Linked DNA regions of Macaca mulatta. The protein of the gene in region 1 purifies or fractionates together with the protein of each later gene. This does not show direct contact. Links are inferred from orthologs where the notes say so. Each region holds a gene or a part of one and is shown on either strand. Other genes may lie near its edges.

Region 1 (7,429 bases):
TATTTGGCCAGGCACGATGGCTCACGCCTATAATCCCAACACTTTGAGAGGCCGAGGCGGGTGGATCACGAGGTCAGGAGTTCCAGACCAGCCTGGCCAAGATGGTGAAACCCCATCTCAACTAAAAATACAAAAATGAGCTGGGCATGGTGGCAGGCACCTGTAATCCCAGCTACTCGGGAGGCTGAGGCAAAGAATTGCTTGAACCCGGGAAGCAGAGGTTGCAGTGAGCCGAGATCGCGCCACTGCACTCCAGCCTGGGCTACAGAGCAAGACTCCATCTCAAAAAAAAAAGAAAAAAAAAAAAAGAATGTATTTTTACTGAGTGGAACCATACTGTATATTCTGCTTTTCCACTTAACATCATACGGGTAGTGTATTTCCCTGGCTGCAGTATCTGCATGCTGTTTTGTTTTTATTTTTATTTTTTGGTTTGTTTGTTTTTTTGAGACAGGGTCTGACTCACTTGCCCAGGCTGGAGTGCAGTGGTGCGATCATGGCTCACTACAACCTCCACCTCCCAGGCTCAAGTGATCCTCCCCACTCAGCCTCCTGAGTAGCTGGGACTATGGGCACATGCCACCATGCCCAGCTAATTTTTGTATTTTTAGTAGAGAAGGGGGTTTCACCACATTGCCCAGGCTGGTCTTGAATTCCTGGGCTCAAGCAATCCACCTGTCTTGGCCTCCCAAAGTACTGGGATTACAGGCATGAACCACCGCACCCAGCCCATCTGAATGCTGTTGATTTAAATCTTTTCCCAGCACTGATGCATAGCCTGCTCTATGTCGTCCATTGACATTCGTGACATTCCTTCTCTCCCACCCCTTTGCCCCCTGCCAGCCTTGGGTTGCACCTGCCACCCACTCCTCTGGAGCCTAATTAGCTGGGAAAAGGGCTCCTGGGTCCCTGTCTGAGGTTTTTTTTTTTTTAGACAGAGTCTTGCTCTATCGCCCAGGCTGGAGTGCAGTGGTGCAATCTTGGCTCACTGCAAACTCTGCCTCCTGGGTTCAAGCGATTCTACTGCCTCAGCCTCCTGAGTATCTGGGATTACAGGCACGCACCACCAGTCTGGCTAATTTTTGTATTTTAGTAAAGACAGGGTTTCAACCATGTTGGTCAAACAGGTCTTGAACTCCTGACCTTGTGATCCACTCGCTTTGGCCTCCCAAAGTGCTGGGATTACAGGCGTGAGCCACCGTGCCTGGCCTCTGTCTGAGGTTTCTTCCAAGGAAGGAAGGATTTTTGTTCAGAGGTGGCGGCCCCTGTCTGACATCTGGTCCAGAAGCCCTTACTCTAGAGACTATTGAGTTGTTTGTTGGGCTTTGGGCATCTGTGAAGAGGCCCTAAAAACTTTCACTGATTCGTTTATTCATTTAACAATTAATCTCTGTAGGGTGTGGTGGCTCAGCCTGTAACCCAGCACTTTGGGAGGCAGGAAGATCCCTTGAGTCCAGGAGTTCGAGACCAGCCTGGGTAACATAGGGAGACCCTTGTCTCTACAAAAAGTAGAATAATTGGCCAGGTGCAGTGGTTTATGCCTGTAATCCCAGCACTTTGGGAGGTCAAGGCAGGCAGATCACCTGAGGTCGGGAGTTCAAGACCAGTCTGATCAACATAGAGAAACCCCGCCTCTACTAAAAATACAAAATTAGCTGGGCATGGTGGCTCATGCCTGTAATCCCAGCTACTCGGGAGGCTGAAGCAGGAGAATCGCTTGAACCCGGGAGGCAAAGGTTGCAGTGAGCGGAGATCTCGCCATTGCACTCCAGCCTGGGCTAACAAGAGTGAAACTCCGTCTCAAAAAAAAAAAAAAAAAAAAAAAAAGTAGAAAAATTAGCCAGGGATGGTGGCTCAGGCCTGTGATCCCATCTACTCGGGAGGCTGAGATGGGAAGATCACTTGAGCCCGGGAGGTTGAGGCTGCAGTGAGTGGTGATCATGCCACTGCACTCCAGCCTGCGCAACTGAACGCAACTTTGCCTGAAAAAAATGGAACAAAACAAAACAACAACAAAAAAACCTCAGAAGCGAGACTTTCCTTGGCTCAGAGGTTTGCCTCCCAGGGACACAAAGGTAGATCAAGTGATAGCCTTTTGGTGAGAATGGAGACGGGCTTCCTGCATTTCCAGTGCCTGGGTGGGCCACGTAGGAGTGTCTGTGTCTCTGAACGCATCCCTGCCCACCCTCACCTCTTGGGTTTGGGGAAGGTCTAATGAAATCATGAAAACTGACTTCCTTGGAGCTTGACCTGGGGTTGCTCTAAGTGCGCTACAGGTATCGCCATTAACCCGTGCAGGACCCAATGAACAGACGCTATCATAAGCCCCACTTTTCAGGCGAGCAAACAGGGGCTCACGGTTATCGATGCCATGGAGCGTCGGCCCAGAACCTGGGGTCTAGAAATCGTGGCCTCGCCCTCCTCTCACCGCCCTCTTCCTAGTCGGAGTGAACCCCCCAGAGAAGGGAAGGAGGAGGCAGGGCCTGGCAGAAGTCCCGGGAGCTGCACAGACAGGCGGTGGGAGCTGCCCCGACAGGGAGAGGCCAGGGCTTGGGCACATCTGCAGAAAAACCCTCCCCCCGGGGAAGGCGGTGGGGAGGGCGTGGAGGGGCGGGGCGTTGCCGCCCCCGGGGCGGGCCCAGTGCGTGGCAGCGGGACCTGCGGCCCCGTCGCAAAGTTTCCAGCCCTGCGAGCGCCGCCGGGGTCGGCCGATCATCCTCATACCTCGGCCATGCGGCCCCTGCTGCTCCTGGCCCCGCTGGGCTGGCTGCTGCTGGCTGAAGCGAAGGGCGACGCCAAGCCGGAGGGTGAGGGAGCGAAGGCCGGGGGCGGGAGCGCGGATCCGGGCGGGAGGTCTGGTCCCGGGCTGCCTCCCTGGGAACGACCTGAATGGGAGGCCTGGGCTGGAGAGGGAGTCTGGGTTCCGGTTCCTCGTCCACTTACTCCCTGGTGACTTGAACAAATCACTTCCCCTCTTGGGGCTGCGGTTCCTCCTTCGGGAAAGAAAGGGTGACAGCTGAGTTCCATTCAGCACAGAAAGGCTCAAATAATAATAGTTCTCATAATAATAACCGGCAATGGCTATTCTGCGGAGTGCTCACTATGGGCAAGGCATCAGTTAGGCATGATTGCTACCCTGGTAAGTGTTTCCTTCTATTATCCCCGTTTTCCAGCTGGGCAAACTGAGGCTCCAGAGTTCATTCACTTGCCCAAGATCATACAACTTGTGGGCCTTGGAACCAGGATTTACCCCACCCACCCAGGTGTCTGGTTCCAGAGCCAGGAGGCCTCATGACCATGGGAGTGAGGGGTCTTGAGGGGGACAGGGGAGGGATGGGGGTAGAAGGTGTGGCTCACTTTGTGGAGCAGTTTGTGCTTTCACCCATGTCCCCTGTGGTCTGCTGAGCCCCTGCCAGGGTGGTCTTCCTCTCTGCAGTTTATTTTTTTATTTTATTTAATTAATTTATTTATTTTTGAGACGGAGTCTTGCTCTGTCGCCCAGGCTGGAATGCAGTGTGTGATCTCGCCTTACTGCAACCTCTGCCTCCCAGGTAGAGGCGATTTTTTTTTTTTTTTTTTGAGATGGAGTCTTGCTCTGTCGCCCAGGCTGGAGTGCAGTGGTGCAATCTCAGCTCACTGCAACCTCTACCTCTCGGGTTCAAGTGTTTCCCCTGCCTCAGCCTCCCAAGTAGCTGGGATTACAGGCACACGCCACCATGCCTAGCTAATTTTTGTATTTTTAGTTGAAATGGAGTTTCACCATGCTGGCCAGGCTGATCTTGAACTTCTGACCTCGTGATCCGCCTGCCTTGGCCTCCCAAAGTCTTTGGATTACAGGCGTGAGCCATCACACCCAGCCGGTTCAAGCAATTCCTGTACCTCAGCCTCCCAGGTAGCTGGGATCACAGACATGTGCCACCATGCCGGCTAATTTTTGTATTTTTAGTAGAGATGGGGTTTCACCATGTTGACCAGGCTGGTCTTGAACTCTTGACCTCAGGTGATCTGCCCACCTTGGTCTCCCAAAGTGCTGGGATTACAGGTGTGAGTCACCGCGCCTGGCCCTCTCTGCAGTTTATACTTGAGGAAACTGAGGCCCAGACAGATGAAGTGACTGTCCAGGGTGGTCCAGACAGAGGTGGCTGGTCCGAGGTCAGCTGGGCACCAGTCTAGCACTCCTTCTACTTCCTCAAGGCCGATTGGATTGCAGTGTGTGTCCCACTGTCCTGAGTGGGTGCTTCCCTCCTCCCCAGCCCTCCCTGGCATGGGCCCTCTGCAGGGCTGTCCCGAGAAGGGCATAGACTGCAGACAGTCCCAGCAAAGCCAAGCAGAACTGACGGTAGCTTCCGTGGCGTTCTCCTCCTTCAGCCTACCCTCTTGGAGAACCTGAAACTGTACCACTAGAAGGATCCTGGGTTCTGGGACCCTTGGGTCTTTGGGTCAGGGATGGGAACCACCATTTCTTTCTTTTTTTGTTGTTGTTGGTTTTTTTTTGTTTTTTGAGACAGAGTTTTGCTGTGTCTCCCAGGCTAGAGTACAGTGGTGTGACCTCGGCTCACTGCAACCTCTGCCTCCTGGGTTCAAGCAATTATCGTGTGTCAGCCTCCAGACTAGTTTGGGATTACACGCCTGCACCATCATGCCCAGCTAATTTTTGTATTTTTAGAAGAGACGAGGTTTTACCATGTTGGCCAGGCTGGTTTCAAACTCCTGACCTCACGTGATCCTCCTGCCTCGGCTTCCCAAAGTGCTGGGATTACAGGCGGGAGCCACTGCACCCAGCCAGGAACCACCATTTCTTTCTTTTTTTTTTTTTTTTTGTGAGACAGAGTTTCACTCTTGTTGCCCAGGCTAGAGTCCAATGGTGCGATCTCGGCTCACTGCAACCTCCGCCTCCCAGGTTCAAGCGATTCTTCTGCCTCAGTCTCCCTAGTGGTTGGTATTACAGGCAGATACCACGACGCTCAGCTAATTTTTGTATCTTTAGTAGAGACGGGGTTTTACCATGTTGGTCAGGCTGGTTTCAAACTCCTGATCTCAGGTGATCCACCTGCCTCGGCCTCCCAAAGTGCTGGGATTACAGGCGTGAGCAACCGCGCCCGGCCAGGAACTGCCATTTCTTGAGTACCTCCCTTGGGCCAGGTTGTGCCCAAGGCCCCACGTCTCCCAGTGGTAAAGCCGGCGCTGCTTGCTCTCTGTGAGGTTTGGTGTTCTAGCCTGCAAGACCTGGTGATACTACCTCACGCCTGGAGTTCTAACAAGGATTTCAGGGGATGAAGCTGGGGAGAGTTCAGCTCAATGCCTGGCCCATGAAAGGCCCTCGGCAAAGGGCATTTTCTCTCCCGGGCCCAGGGCTGCTGGCTTACAGCAGGGCAGTAAAACAGCTCAGAAAGTCCAGTGACGGAAACGCTGACCACCGGGCCGTGCAAAGGGCTCTCGGCCTGGGTCCCCTCACTGGCCAGGAGCCCTGTTGTGGCCTTGTTTTCTGGGCCTTTGATACCCCTGCTTCTGCTGACATGGGCTGCCTGCATCCCAGACCATCCCAGGAGAGAAACCTTAGCTGCCCACGATGAAGCCCGGGAAGTTGAATTGTAGAGGGACCAGACTGATGACAGGGCGTTAGGCACCCTGATCCCCAGCAAGTGACAGGAGGAGGGCAGAGCAGATCTGAGGAAGCCTTCACGGAGGGTGCTGCTGTGGGCGGAGGACAGGATTAGTGTGCTGCTGATGTAACCCAGGTAGAGCACCTGGTAGATAGTAAGCACATCTGTGCTCACTGATGCACGAGAGAGCGGATCCCCAGGCCTGGGGCTAATGTCAGGCCAGTCTGAGTTGCGCCTTTGCTTCCCTTCTCCATTTGAATCCTTACCTGTTTTCCTTTTTTTTTTCAATTTTTCATTTTCTTTCCTTCTTTTTTTTTTTCTTTTTTTTTGAGACAGAGTCTCACTTTGTTGCCCAGGCTAGAGTGCAATGACACGATCTCAGCTCACTGCAGCCTCCGCCTCCAGGGTTCAAGCGATTCTCCTGTCTCAGCCTCCCAAGTAGCTGGGATCACAGGCATGTGCCACCATGCCTGTCTAATTTTTGTATTTTTAGTAGAGACGGGTTTTGCAGTGTTGGCCAGGCTGGTCTCAAACTCCTGACCTCAAGCAATCTGCCCACCTCGGCTTCCCAAAGTGCTGGGATTACAGGCGTGAGCCACCATGCCTGGCCAGGATCCCTTTGATGAGTAAGGAATCATCAACCCCATTTTGGAGATGGGAAGACTGAGGCCCTGGAAGGTTAAACATCTGGTCTCTCGTTGCCAGAGCTGGTTGGGGGTGGGGTTGTTGTCTGGAACTCAGATCTACTGTTCATTTCTGCACCTCTGGATGGGAAGGGGGTGCTATTGCCTGGAAATGCTGCCTGGGGGAGCCTGCTCAGCTCCCCCAGACCCAGCTGAGGCGTGACCTTCAGCCAGCTGGACAGGACAGAGTGGATTGCTCATCTTCCCTGCAGGCATTGCCTAAGCAGCCCACTGACTAGTGTATGTGTTTGGTGGGGGGCACCCCAGCAGCCCCCCAGAGAGGCCAGCTCTTTCCTTTCCCTGGCAGGTGGATGGGAGGGTCAGCTACTGAGGTGGATTCAGCCAGAGTAGGGGAGGGGATTTGTTGTGGAGTCTTGGGGAGTGAGGTGGGTGGGGTGCTGTCGGCAGCTTGTCTGTCCCCTCACCCAAAACCCATGGCCTTGGTGCATGGAGAGAAACATGGACTGTTTTCACTTTTAGGGGGCTCCCAGTCGGAGGGGGGTATAGAGCACCTCGCCTCAGTAGACACCCCGTGTCTGAGGGAAGAGATATTGTGCCATCCTGTGGAGGCTTCCAGAACAAGATGGGAGACACAAGGAGGCTTCAGCAAAGCAACATCTTCCATCACAGGGAACTGGGGGAATAAAAGGCAACATCCAAACAGGCAGATGTCCCTAGAGCCGAGGCCAGATGTACCACGGCCCTTCCTCCCGTTTGCAGAAACTTTTAGCAGATCTCCAGCTCCTGCCTTTCCCTGTAGGCCTTGGTTTGGCCACAGTGAGGGAAGGACAGCTGCAGAGATCAGAGGCTCAGCTGGGCGTTCAGGTCATGCTGTTCCCTACTAGAGAACGGAAGGGTCCCGGGAGTCAGGCAGGCTGCACTGGATGGTGTGGGGGTGGGGCCGGGTCTGGGGAGACCTAAGTGGGCAGCTGGCCCGGGGGAGGCCAAGGTTGGCTCCCAGGTGCTGGGCATCCCTAGTTCCTGCCAGACCCTGTTCCTGGCTTCCGTTCAAGCCTGGGGTGGGGATGAAGGATGGGGGAGGGGGGAGGGCGGAAGGTCTTCATTCATTCCCGCCTCCCCAGAGAGCAGACTGGGTGTGTCATGACTGTGCTTTGACTCAGGCCACACAGTGACCACCCACGC
Region 2 (6,978 bases), on another chromosome or scaffold:
CTGAATTTTCTTATCCAGCGAAGAAGAGTAAGTGAACATTTAAGATCACAAGGAGCCCTCCATTGTCTCCTGGGATTTGGTGCCATCTAGTGGCTAACTTGAGAATCTTTGCTCAGACTTAGAGAAACTTCTGGAAAATTAACTAAGTAGCCTGGGAAGGCAAAAACACCTACTTGTTTACCCTCTGAGAAAGGCTTCCTGGACAAGGACTGGCTCAACATGATAGGAGTCAAAATGGGTTTCTTGCTCTCCTGAAAGCTGTGATAAAAATTAGAAGTCATCAAAGAATTTCAATCACGTCCCACTGCATCTTCAGCTTGAATGATTTTCCAGAATTGATTTTCATTTCCTGAATGAAATGGAGTCAGGTAATACCAACTTGGTATTTGCCTCCCATCTCATTTCTCTGGGTCCCAAGCTCTGAACAGCCCAAGTATAGCAATACAGTTCCCAAGGGGTCAGTGAAACTACAAAGAGATCTGTAGTTCAAGATACAGTTGGTACTGATCAGAGGGACATTGGGGTCTTAAAGTCATTGAGGGGTGGAATTGTTAATGACCACTGTGATCCAGACAAAAATCTAAGACATCAGCACACAATGCCACAGGTGCTCAGAATCCTCATGAGAGGTGCAAGGTATTGTAAACATGTGGTTTGGACTTTAATAGAAAACTTAAACTACTTGTTATGGGAACAAAGGGGAGGCGATCAGGGATCATAAAGGAAGCTGCTCCTTAAAGTTGTTTGGGGAACTGTGATGGGTCTCAAAACATGGTCTTGAGACCAGCAGTATCAGCACATTCTCAAGCAACATCCCAAAACTACTGAACTGTAAACTCTAGGGATGGGGCCTAGAAATGAATGTTTAAACAACCCCTGCAGATGATTCTGATGCACATGAAAAGTTTGAGAACGCTGGTTTAAGATAAGCTTTAGATGCCCTAAAATACACCTGAGAGTGTTTAGAGAATCTCCTAATGAATTCATGGAGGAGACAATTTATTTCCTTAACATAAGCCTGCTTCTTTTTTATGTTTTGTTTTTGACACATAATTGTAAGCCTACTTCTTTTTTAACATACAAAGGTGCCTTCTAGTTTGTGATGAAATACAAAGGATTATTTATTCGCTTTCACTTCTTTGGATTTTAGAGAATACTATCTTGGTAAGTGGCTCCAAAAGTAGCTCAATAGTCCTGTAGACATGGTAAGTTTTTTTAAAAAAGAAGAAAATGTTCAACTTTAATATTAATCAAAAAAATACAAATTAAAATTGCAATGAGATATCATTTCTCAACTAACAGACTGGCAAAGATCACAAAGAATAATGTGCATCAATAAGGAGGGCATAAGGGGGAAAATAAAGCACACACTCCAGGTAAAAAGATAAAGTACCAGAATCTTGCTGGTAACACAAATCAGAAGCCTTAAAAATGAGTGTATCTTTGACTCAGCAATCCCATTTCTAGGGATATATCTTAGAAATAATTAATGATATATGCAACAATGAACATATAAAGATGCTAAATATATTGTTTATAATTTTAAAATTAAAAATTTTAATTTTGAGGGAATTATAAAGTCAATCAGCGTGCCCATATGACAGAACATAATAAAAATCAATCAGCACAAGATTTTTTCCAGTTTTTAAAAGGAAGATTTATTTAACAAGTTTCACTTAGTACAATACATCTAAATGGAAATCACAATACAAGGAAAGATTTAAACCAAAGCCTCAGAATTTCATACAAACAACACGACCAAACTTCTAAAGTATTGGTATTACATCTTAAAATTGTCCCGTATCCTTCAAAAAAAAAAAAAAAAAAAAAAAAAAAGTGTACACTCACGTGCCTTACAGGATATTAAACCAAAAAGCTAGAATTAACAAACATGCCAAATGTTTTCACTTTGAATCGTAGACACAGCTCCTATATTTGAGTTTTACAGAAAAGCATGTTTCTCAACATGCATCCGAAGTTTTCAATGTATTTGTGGTATAAGAGCAACATTTAACATAAGTGAAACTGCATTAACCTAAATACGCTTACTGCTTAGGTACACTCCTACAACATAACTAACTTGAGGAAAGCTAAAAATTGTTTTAACAGTTATGGTCAATACTGAACTTTGTTATTATGTCCTAGATGAATGTTTCAGTGTTCAAAATTACTGAGCTTGAAGTTTTAAAATAATCTCAACTTCCACTTTACAGTAAGCATGAATCACAAGCCTGTAATGCAAAACTGTTAAACTTAACTCTTGTTTTCTTAAAAAAGGAGAAAGAAAGATAAAGAAAGAGAAGCTGACCAAGAGTGATCAGAATCAATTATATTTCCCATTTACCAATCATACTGGATATACTAGACATCCCTCCCATTCTATTCAACTCCCACAAATGTACAGCTTTTATATATGGAGTAGCTGTTTGGTGCTCCTTCTCTACCTAAGCAAGGTTTGACTGATAGTCACTGGAATTTTCCTGCAGAACTTGGTCATATCCACTCATACTGCTCTGACCACCATAACCACCTCCATAACCACCACTCAGCTGCTGGCTAGCAGGACCTCCATAACTAGACTGGTTGGATAAGCCCATCCCTCCCATCATTTGGCTACCATAAGCCCCACCACTTGCCCCTGCTGTAGAATTCAAAAAAAGTTCTACATAGCTGTGATCGTAAGCACCCCCACTTGTTCCTGCAGTAGAATTTAAGAAGAGCTCCACATATCTATGTTGCATATTAGCTTTGTCTTTTGCCATAGCTGCCACAGCATCTTCATGAGTAGCAAATTCAACATCTGCCTCACCAGTAACTCTGCCATCGGGTCCAATTTCAATATGTACTCTCATGGGATTAAGAGGTGAGAAGAAATTATAAATATCATTCTCAGTGGCTCTGTAAGGTAACCCCCTCATGTGTACACAGTGCCCTGTGGTGCTCTGGAAACTGGACCCACCATCTCCATATCTATGATCAGACATTCCTGAAAAACAGTAATTGAGGTCTCTTCCAAATCTATCAGACCCAAAGCCATATCCATCATTATAGCCACCATAGTCATCATAGCCTCCATACCCTCCACCGTAGGCACCACGCCTCATCCTTTCAAACCCAGCTCCTCTGCCAATGCTATTATACCCTCTGCCAGCCCCCGGCCTATCATAGGGACCTGGCCGCTGCATAGCCATGAGCTTTCGAGGGGGATCATAGTGGGTTCGAACTTCAGCTCGGCTACTCTTGAAGATCTCAATGTACCTGTGCCCTATTCTTTCCTTGTGTTTCTTTAAGGCCTTCTCAGCTATCTCCTGCGAAGCAAACTGCACAAAGGCTTCCCCTGTGCTTCGCCCCTGAAAGTCCACTGGCAGTGTCATCCCATTTGGCACAATTTCCAACCCTGAAAAGAACTGAACAATCTCTTCCTTGCTACAGCCAAATGGGAGTCCTCTAAGCCGGACGAAGCCATCGTTGGCAGTATCAGGGCTATTCGGACCTGTATGCTTCAACACCCAATCCATTTCAACACTGTTAGACTTGAATACTTCAACGTATCTGTGTCCCATGGTTTCTCTGTCCTTCTTCAAAGCCAATTTCACTTCCTCTTCAGATTCAAGTTCAACAAATGCTTCACCACTTGGTCTGCCTTCTCTGGTGTAGATGAAACGAATACCTGATGTGCCATTTTGGATCTTGCAATCAGAGAAGAAGCGCATCACTTCATCGGCTGAGCAGGACCAGGGTAGGCCCCTGACCTTCACCACGAACCCCTCCCTGCCTTCCGTGCTCAGCATCATGGTGACTGTTGGGCTCTTGGTGGCAAGTTTGGCTCAATGCAATTTTAGTGTAGCTGAAAAAAAAAATTAGAAGACTACTGTCATGGAAAAATGCCCGTGATATAGTAAGATAAAAAAGCAAACTATTAATAGAAAATTCAACTATGCTGACAGCTTTTCTGTAAGATGTCTGTATAAACAAAGAGTTCACCAAATTTTTAACTCATTCATTTTTTAAGTTATTTATTCAATGCCTATTACATGTTGGATACCATTAAAAATTAATAGCAATCGGCCGGGTGTGGTGGCTCACGCCTGTAATCCCAGCACTTTGGGAGGCTGAGGCGGGTGTACCACCTGAGGTCAGTAGTACCACCTGAGGTCAGGCGGGTGTACCACCTAGAGGTCAGAGACCAGCCTGGCCAACATGGTGAAACCCTGTCTCTACTAAAAATACAAAAAATTGGCTGGGCGTGGTGGCAGGCGCCTGTAATCCCAGCTACTTGGGAGGCTGAGGCAGGAAAACCACTTTTATGTACCCAGGAGGTGGAGGTGAGCCGAGATCACGCCACTGCACTCCAGCATGGGCCACCAGAGCGAAACTAAGTCTCAAAAAATAAATAAATAAATAAAATAACATCAACAAATCAGTGGGATAGGTCAACAAATAAAAGATAGCTATATCTGAATATACACACATAAAAAACTTCACTAGATCAAAAGATTAAACAACAATTAAAACATTAAAACACAAACAAAACACAGGTTATATACGTTCTTTATATAATCTCCTTATATACAAATGTATGCAAATCAATAAAATCAGGGAAATATTTGGGCTTCAGAGATAAATGAAAAAAAGACATTATTGGGAATTCACACATTCATTTTAGAAATATTTTTTAGTTGCCATGTCCAATACTCAGCTCTGGCATACAAGAATCAATAAGCCCAGAAAGGGCTTATGATCCTACAGGAGCACCAAATATCATTATTAAAGATGTAAATGCAAATATACATTATACTTGCCATGACCCTCTGGGTGGGGTATAAGCATAGTATCAAGGAGGGACTAGTTGATCAGTTCTATTGGTTGGAGGTCAAATGGTTAAATGAAACAGACTAACCTGCCCAGGGATCCATAAACGATTTTTTAAAATTATGATAAAGCACAAATAGGAGAGGGAAAAGCAAGAGAAAAGGCTGGCAAGGCATAGATCAGATCCCAAAGACTTTTATGCAGTGCTTAGTTAAGACTGCATAAAAAAACTGGAAAAATAACATGGAAAATCCATAAACCTACCACTCAGAGTAACCACTAATATGTTCATTCTAACTTAAAAAAATCCCAGTGCAGCAAATTTAAAGAATTAAAACTGTATAGAAGTATATACACACTATATACACTAAGCACCTTTTAAGACTTTTAAACCGGGGAGTTTGTGGGGTGACTTCACCAAAACTCTTTCAGACAGATCACCCCGGCAACAGTGTGGTACTCAGAGGTGGAACTAGGGAGATTAGTTAGAACTTGTCTCTTAAATATACGTTAAAGGAATCGCCTAAGGCAACAGGAGTAAAATGGAGAAAAGCTATATCTACACATACCAAAAAAAGTGGAATCTGCGGGACTTGATAACAGATTAAGTATGAGAGAATACAGGTATAGGAGGATACAGGAGAGCAATCTGGGAAATGTTCAAATTTAATCAATCTTCCAGTAAGTTAAAACCAGAACTAATCATTATTTTTCACCCATCAAGATTATGGAAATTAAACGGTGACAGTAAATCAGTGCTATGCAGAGTTCACAAACTAATAATACACTACTAGAGGAGTGGTAATTGATATAAACTATTTCCTTTTTGATAAATCCCACTATATCCTGAAAGCAATTTGATAATATGTATCACGCCTTTTGACAGCAAATACATTTCAGTTATGTGCCCTAAGGAGATGATCTGAAATTCAGACAAAGATTTATGGAGCTATATATTCTTTGAAAAGTACTTTATTAAGAAAACTGGAATATTATGCATTTAATTTTAAAAGTTACAAAAATATTTAATAACATGAGAAATTACTTATGCTATAATTATAAGTGACCCAAGAGCACAGCTGCTTTACAATCTCAACTATGTACAAAATACATATTCCCATACCCTTTGACACTGCTAGAATCCTTCCAGGAATCTAGTCAACAGAAATACTTAGGAATGTTCCTTGCAGCACTGTTAGTAAAGGCAGAACATTGGAAAGCTAAATAGCCATCATTAGAGGAATGGCTGAATGAATTATACCTTATCCTTAAAATGGAATGCAATGCAGCCATTTAAAAAAAAATCTATCTGCCTTGACCCAGAAAGATCTCCAAAATACACTAAATGAAAGAACATACATAGTATGATCCTACTTATAGTAAAAGATTAGCATGCATGTATATACGTATGTAAATAAATAAAAGAAGATCTGGAAGCAAACTTGTTTTTGAGAGAACTGAAGGGTAGGGGGAGTGAAGTGGGCTTTTCGCTTTTTACCCTATATACTTCTATACAGTTTTAATTCTTTAAATTTGCTGTACTGGGATTTTTTTTAAGTTAGAAAGAACATATTAGTGGTTACTCTGAGTGGTAGGTTAATGGATTTTCCATGTTATTTTTCCAATTTTTTTATGCAGTCTTAAATTTCTACAGAAATAATTACTTTTACTTCAGCAAAAAAGCAACATAAAACAAATTAAAATGTTTGCATTTCTGGGATTTGGTATAGGAAATTTTATAAAATTGTCCAATTTTGAATGTGGATGGTTATCTGATATGGTCTGTGAGCATTGGGCCTCTTGGAAACAAAGTACAAAGTGTAATAACGGCCATAAAACTACACTGAGGAAACGATTTAACATTTACTGATTGCATATTAAGTGCCTAGCAGACTGCATCTGCAGTGATAACAGTTTTCCTATTAACCATCCTAAGGTCTCAGTGACAGATTTACAGGCTGTTTTTTATTACATTTTGTACAATTTTTTTTTTTTTTTTTTTTTTTTTTTGGCTTGCCTTATCCCTGGGATAACCCGTCCCATTTAATTCCCTGCACCACTCTATCCCTTAAGAGCCCTTCTGTAGGGGCAGAGAGGTTCTACTTCATTACTGCGTCTCCTGGGAAGGCCATCAGGACTGCTGGCTCAAGTGGGAACCAGGACTCT

The links.
Region 2: the proteins of PLOD1 (region 1) and HNRNPH2 purify together in Homo sapiens (affinity purification with mass spectrometry; 3 studies listed by BioGRID and IntAct, counting the BioPlex papers as one, with this or other methods). This does not show direct contact. The link is inferred for Macaca mulatta from reciprocal best matches to the Homo sapiens genes PLOD1 and HNRNPH2.

What each region holds. Positions count from the first base shown.
Region 1 is NC_133406.1:228,788,524-228,795,952, reverse strand, and holds the start of PLOD1 (procollagen-lysine,2-oxoglutarate 5-dioxygenase 1), read left to right. Parts: upstream 1-2,674; 5' UTR 2,675-2,731; coding exon 2,732-2,807; intron 2,808-7,429. UniProt on the Homo sapiens protein: Part of a complex composed of PLOD1, P3H3 and P3H4 that catalyzes hydroxylation of lysine residues in collagen alpha chains and is required for normal assembly and cross-linkling of collagen fibrils.
Region 2 is NC_133426.1:108,300,121-108,307,098, reverse strand, and holds the end of HNRNPH2 (heterogeneous nuclear ribonucleoprotein H2), read right to left. Parts: intron 3,869-6,978; exon of another isoform or gene 3,848-3,868; 5' UTR 3,795-3,847; coding exon 2,445-3,794; 3' UTR 1,628-2,444; downstream 1-1,627. UniProt on the Homo sapiens protein: This protein is a component of the heterogeneous nuclear ribonucleoprotein (hnRNP) complexes which provide the substrate for the processing events that pre-mRNAs undergo before becoming functional, translatable mRNAs in the cytoplasm. Binds poly(RG).